2 linked regions of the Kluyveromyces lactis genome follow. The protein of the gene in region 1 interacts with the protein of each later gene in a biochemical or structural test. Links are inferred from orthologs where the notes say so. Each region holds a gene or a part of one and is shown on either strand. Other genes may lie near its edges.

What was found.
Region 2: the proteins of BNI1 (region 1) and BUD6 form a complex in vitro, tested with the Saccharomyces cerevisiae proteins (5 studies listed by BioGRID). The link is inferred for Kluyveromyces lactis from reciprocal best matches to the Saccharomyces cerevisiae genes BNI1 and BUD6.

Annotation. Positions count from the first base shown.
Region 1 is NC_006039.1:196,033-199,261, forward strand, and holds the end of BNI1 (formin BNI1), read right to left. Parts: coding exon 501-3,229; downstream 1-500. Other genes in the region: guanine nucleotide exchange factor SEC2, read right to left, coding at 1-211. UniProt on the Saccharomyces cerevisiae protein: Required for the assembly of F-actin structures, such as actin cables and stress fibers. Nucleates actin filaments. Binds to the barbed end of the actin filament and acts as a leaky capper, slowing both polymerization and depolymerization.
Region 2 is NC_006039.1:1,621,433-1,625,340, reverse strand, and holds BUD6 (formin-mediated actin nucleation enhancer), read right to left. Parts: upstream 2,595-3,908; coding exon 501-2,594; downstream 1-500. Other genes in the region: EST2 (telomerase reverse transcriptase), read left to right, coding at 1-476; MMS22 (Mms22p), read left to right, coding at 2,892-3,908.

The DNA of each region.
Region 1 (3,229 bases):
TCTTATCGGTTTCGTATTGTAATTTCAAAGATTGTAGTTCCTGCTTCAATTCATTATATGAGTTCGCAATATTCTGCTGAGTGGAAATGGTTTTCTTAGCCACTAGTAACTGTTCTTCTAATTGGGATTGTTTATCAATGCTTTCGATTAATTGCGTAGATAAAGATGTCACTTGCAAAGATATGCGCTTTGACTCTTCTTGATCCGCCATTCTAAAAATAAGGCTACCGTCAGCTTTGCTTGTAGCAAGTACTTTCTGTTAGCAAAATCAGTGATTCATTTATTGAAGTAAATTACACAGGCGAGTATTTATGTATTTCATTAGTCCTCTGGTAATTTGGTTGATATATATTACATTCTTGATTTCATCAAACATTGGAACTAAATTCATTACCCGGTTTTAAAATGAAAATGTCAATTTCGGTATACGAATTATGTCTATGCAAGTATACACATATTGTAGTTATTAAATAAATGCTGAAATGAGTATTATGTAGTCTTTAAGCATCAATAAACTCATCTTCCGATGAGTTCGATGTGTCCATCAAATCTTGGGTTGGCGATAACGGTTTAGGATGAGGTCCAACTTCTAGGCTTCCAACAAATTGTAGTTTATTAGGTTGGTCTACTTTCACAGAAGAATCTTTTTTTTTCAGATCCCTAAGCTTGTCCTTTGCTTTGATTGGGGATGGAGAAGCGTCTTTTCTTTCGTCAGGGCCTCTTAATTCTAGTAATAAATTCCTTGCTCTATCTGCAGGGTCTTGTTTTGATGACGACAAGCTTTCAGTTTCAGGAAGGCTGGCCGATTTTTTAGCAGTAGGCGATTCGGTAAGCGTTCTATTTTGTTCCACGAAAGCTTCGATAGTACTATCAGCAGTGATGTTATCAAAAATTGATGCCCCGGATTTACCATCTAGTAATTTCTTTCTAGCCAATGCACGTTTACGAGTACTAGATGGATCTCCTTTTGAAGGAGCTGCATTTTTCAATTTATCCAAAAGCTTCTCTATATCGTCCCTATCATCAGACGGTTCTTGCGAAGTGCTTAAATTTTTTGCTGTTGCCTTACTATCTGCCTCCTGTTGTTTCCGTTGTTGATCTTCAATCATTTTCTTTCTCCTTTCGTAAGCACGTTCTTCTTCTTCCAGTTTGACATTATGAGTTTTAGCTTTCTTGAATTCGGTAATGAAATCTGCAAACTTTTGGAAGAAAGAGTTTTTAGAGAACTTGTCGTTGGCATCTTCGCCAAATTTCTTCATTAGATTTTCAAATTCCAGCAAACTTAATTTGATTTCATCGCTTAGAAGATCAGCTTTCTTTCTAGCTTCAGGTAAAACCGGTACTACCTTATTTAAAACACGATCTAACGGATGGAATTTAGAAGGGTCACTTAGGTTTCCAATTTCAATAGAACGCTCAACGTTAATTACTGACTGTGAAAATTCCTTACAATCAGTTACCAACTGTTCGATGGATATTTTTGTTACGCTAAAAATAGGCTCAAGCTCTTCCACGAAATGGCTGTATTCGGGATAATTTTCACGAATTATCTTTTCCACATAGTTCAAAAAAGTCATACTGTTCTTTTCATCTTTAATGAAGGTCAATCTTTGTAGGGTGCTTAGCTTGAACCCCTGAGCTTGCTTTGAAGAATCATTCATATAATTACCAACTGCCAAAATAACATCGAAAACATGTCTGAGACTTTCAGATTGTTCGATGCACTGAACTGCTCTATCAATTTTTCTTAGTTTAGTGACCAAATCCGAATAGTCTTTTTCATAAGTAGTTATCATAGTGATTGCTCTCATACGAGACCCCCAGTACGGTTGTAAGTTAATCATAAATTCAACATATAGTTGATCTGCACGTTGAAGTTCATTAGGATCTTTTTCGGGGGGTTTTGCATCGTCAACAGATGTCACTCCCTCCCAATCAGTACTGTAAGGATTGAAATATCGTGCCAAATTATTCGTTACTTCAATTATGGTAGGCTTTGACAAAAACTCTATTACGCTAGGAGTAGATAGGAATTCTCTATCACATTTCATTACCTTCCCAACAACATCTTTAACATCGAGGTTGGAGAACATATGTAGGTTAATACCAAATTGTTGGGAAACATCTCTCGATAAAAAGGTAATCTTTTCATTTGCTTCCTTAGACTTTCCTTTTAATGATTTGGTTTCTCTGGCAGCAAACGCTTTTTCTAATTGACTTAATACACCTCTTTCGAATAGATCGTCAGCAACCTTTTCTGCTTGAGCATTTTTCCAAATAGAATCCCCAGCATTGTCAATTTTTTCCCAGTGTAATTGTTTGAGCTTCTTCTTGGGACGAGGATACCTTTCAAAGAGAGATGGTGATTGCGGTAGTAAGGGACTTGTGACTGTCGCTTTGGGTGTGTTTGCCGATGGAAATGGTGGAGGTGGGGGAGGGGGAGGAGGAGGGGGAGGAGCAATACCAGGGGATAATGCAGTAGGGAGAGGAGATGGTACTGCAGTAAGAGTTCCACCTAATGATACCGGTAAGGGAGGTGGTGGCGGCGGTGGTGGTGGTGGCGGTGGCGAAGCAGCGGATACGATTGTTGTTGTTGGATTCGCTTCAATAGATTCGGAATCCCCGATTTCAGACTGCATTGTCGTTGGCGAATATTTATCATTCAAGATCACATTCGAGATCTTGTCGCTTCCCTGTTGAGCATCTGTCAAAATGGGTTTTTCTGTAAATTGACTGACTGGTTTTTCAGTACTCTTTAACGATGCACCAGGAGATACAGATATGCCAATACCCACAGGGACATCATCGATGTCATCTGTCATTTTAACTTTTGATTTTAGCTCAGTCAAAAACGGTGGCAGATGTTCGCTCGTCGCTGTTGGGTTCACTGTAGTATTCTTTAACCTATTCAAAAACGATTTTCTATGATAACCGCTTCCAGGATACCTAGTCTCGCGTCCCACACGACCACCATTCGTAGACGTGGCGGTCTGTTGTCCAGTTGAATACTTTTGAGATAATGATTCAAGGAATGATGATCCATTGGATACAATATCCGACCCATGAGATGCTTGTGATTGTGATGAACCATCTTCTGAAGAGGAAGATGCCGAAGACAACGATGACGAAGATGATGAACTTGAGCCGGTTTTAGGTCTATTTTTCATTTCTTCTTTCAATGCATTGAGTTCATCAATAATTGAATTCATTTCTTCTACCTTTCTTTGTA
Region 2 (3,908 bases), about 1.4 Mb from region 1:
CAACAAATGTACCTTTTTGTGCACTGCAGTTAAATCTAAGAACCCTAGAAGTTTGGAAAGACCGCTCATCGTATAATGTCCTAGGAACAGTTTTGGGATCATCTAAGCAACTGTATAATAAATTACTCTGGATCTTTGAGATGAGACTATCTTATAATATGCTGGACGAGCGCTTAAATTCTTGGGAAACGGCTGCAAGGTTCCTGAGAGAAGTTGCGTTAAATGTAATTCAATCGTTCATTGTCCTTTTTAATAGGAAGAAAAGCAGCAGAAGATCTTTCAAACAATTTGTTTTCAACATTTTTCAGCGAATTGATCTTAACCTCTCTTCAGCTAATATGTTCTCGATGGAAAAGTCCGTCGCGTCAAAAGAACTGGTGTTGTCAGTTTTCCTTGAACAATTAAAATTAAGGAAGAACGCATTTGCAGACATTTTGACAAATGTCAGCGATTTGAAACTATTAATAGAGTTTTAATGCTATTACTTAAAATTATTGTACCTATATCAGACCAAAATTAACACGCAGATTTTCTTCGTCTTTTTGTTTTCTTAGGCGTTCTATCTCCTCAATGCCACCGGCCTTTTTGAAGTTACCTTTCTCAACGAAATTGCCCAACTCATCTTCAAAGGCTTCATTTTCCTTGTACTCTTTCTCTCTGTTTCTTAGTTTTTCTGCCTTTTTAATGGCTTCCACTCTACTGTCATGATCTGGGTTGAGATTCTGAACTTCAGTCAAGACTTGATCGCGGATCATATTATATGTGCCTGGCTTGGCTATCGGAAGAATGGGGTTTCCCTTATTCTTCTTTGGGGCCTTTTCCTGTTGTTCGCAGCACAATTTAACCAAATCAAATGTCTCCATAACCTTATTCAAGTCTTCTTGTAAATCAAATACGAGATCTTCTTGCAATGTCATGAACTGTTGCTCTTCACACACCCTATCTAATTCCGCTTCCCAAATAGTTTTCCAATTTGGCTTTTCGACATCTATATAATTTCTCATTTGATCCAAATCCTTCTTAGCGGAGTCTAATTCAGACGATACATTTTCAATCTTCTTCTTGGGTGTTCTCGCACCTCTAATGGCCACATCTTTACGTAATGCCTCAATGACATCTTGAAGATCGTCAACTTTACTCAAAAGATTATCAGAAACTTCGGATAACTTCGACTGGGACTTTTCCATATAATCGCGATTAGCTGACTTTCCTGTAGTTATTGAAAGGCTCTGGAATTTCTGTAGTTTTTCCACGATAGCGTTTATAGTATTTTGAAGCGATCTCTTTTGGTCGCTATGTATCTGTTTTAAAACGGTAATTTCGTGCCTAATATGAGCAACTTCTTTACGATGATCCTCATGTATAACTGTTGCAGAATCTGAGGATTTTGGACCACTTGAATAATCTGGTGACGATACGTGAGTACTATTTTGGATAATCTCTTTCAAATTTTGAAAAATTGTATCTTGCTTTTCTAATAAACCATCTTGAAGTTGGCGGAACTGTTCATCTAGAGACGATGATTGTACCTGTAATTGGAATACGCTCCCATCTATTATACCATGTAGGTGACTCTCTTCAAGTTCGTAAAATGCCTCGTATTTGGGTTCCTTCACATATATGTCAGGGAATACATCACCTCCTGGGGAATATGCAAATTTCTCAACAAATAAAAGTCTAAGCTTGTTGAAAGAGAGGTGAGAACTAGTTACACATCGTTTCACCTTCTCACCGATCTTCAAAAAGACAACAATTTCATCTATGCTTGAGTTATCACCTTTTGGTTCTGGTGCTCCTGTCATGGGATGATAATCTACGGATGAAGCAGAAGAGATTCGAGAAGGCTGTCTTTCCATTTTAATGCTTTCTGTATCAGAAACATTGGCCGCTGCTGCCGCTGCAGCAGCGGCTGGAACTGCTAAATTTTTAGACGTTGGGGAATTCGATGGATCTGAAGCTGTTTGGTTGGCTAATTTCGCCATATGATACGCTGAAAACCTCTTCGAGGCTCTTCTTTGCAGATTATTTCCCTTTTTCAATTGAGTTAACGCATCGCTTTCAGAACCCTTGGGAACTTCTAACGTAGGTATCTGTTTTGTTTCAATATGAGCTGAAGTAGATGTCGGTCCCGCGCCAGCCAAAGATGTCGTTGCGCTGACTACGGATGAAACGGAAGATCTTTGAGGAGTATGCTGATATTTCAAAGCATCTTCATTCCTGCTCAGTTTTATCATCGCCTGTTTAACCTTAAGTTTCTCCAAGAGTTTAACTATAATATCTCTGATCTGCGGTAGGTATTTATTCAACGTTTCCTCAGATGCAGTCTCTCTCAATGCCACCTCCAATATTCTTCGAAGGTCTTTTGGCACATCGCCAAGATCCGAAATATCAATTCTAGCATGGGTAAAATGTCTACTGACTAACTTGAAATCATTACCCAATTGAACATACACATCGGAAACATTACGCTCGGTAACTTTGCCCTTGGACCATTGCGTCAGAATTTGTAATAGTTGTTTAGTTGAAATCAATAGTTTCGTCACACTAGTTTCCACAGATGATGCTGATTTAGAAATTGGTGGTGGTGTTTCCATCTTTATCAGACACACCTTACGTACCTCACCCTACTGCTTCCACACACCTAACTACTAGCTAGGAAATCCAACGTACACTTTTTAAACGGTATGTTTCTTCAAAGCATTACTAGATCAAAAAGCTTTAGGTTTGATTTGGTTTGCATAAATCTTTTGTTGATAAATATCAAGAAACGTAATTTCCTGAAGTTAGGCCGAGATAATGAAACAGGAAAGTATGGAAACTTACCATTTCAGAAGCTAAGCAACCAACAGAGACGTGTTACCGCGTATGACATATAGCGTGGTTTCTGTGGGATGAATCAGGACTCTGTAGTCCCCAATTCGGAGGCTAGTGATGAAGAGATCGTAATACCTCTGCATTCGGAACCAAATGTATTTCCAATCTTCGATGACGAATACCAGGTACGCGTCATTCCGGGCAGTCTCGATAACGTAGCACAGACACCTCCTGATATTGGAGTTTACTCTAATAGTATAAGACGTGCATTGAGAAAGCGTAAAGCAATCCAGAAGATGCCGTATAGTTTGGATAGAATACGGCATCGGCAGTTATTGCAAGGGTACGATGTATCTAATTTCGAATCTCTAGCAGATCATATCAATCTGCCGAGTGGTTCCCGGCAAGATATTACTGTTAATACGGACAATGGGGGCGTGCTCAATTCGAGTCCTGTGAAGGGCGGCCTTTCACAGCAAGAACACTCGACTATTGCGTCAACAAGGCTTCGAAGGCATCACCATTTCCATATTTCAGATGATGATGATGATGATGAGGTATATGGTAATGCTGAACTAGACAGCGATGAAATTCGTGACGAGTGTCATTCGGAAAGTGACTCGAATCAGTTTGATAGATCCAGTTTATCCTATGATGATAACGTTGTTTTTAGAGGAAGGCAAGTCAATATCAGAACAGGATACAAAGGTGTATTACCCAAAATGGCGTGGAAGAAAGCACTTGATAACAATACAGTTGAAAGTAATAGACAAGGAAGAAATAAAAATAACCACTACGATGAAAATTCACGGAGTAAAGGTTTAGCCAAGAGAAAAATATCTCGTAGAACGTTTAATTCCAGAGACGACAACCTTGTAAACGAATTAATAGAATCGGATGCTGAAATTGAAGTTGGATTCCCGGAAACATATCTACGGCTACAGAATGAGCAAGATTCAATGGAAGACTCAAAACTAGAGGAATATTTTCTACAGAAATATGAGCCAGAACCAGATTCAGATTCAGATTCAAATCCACCATCTTCAGCTGATGATATTACTGAAATTACAAGCCAGGGGATCGAACTACTTACT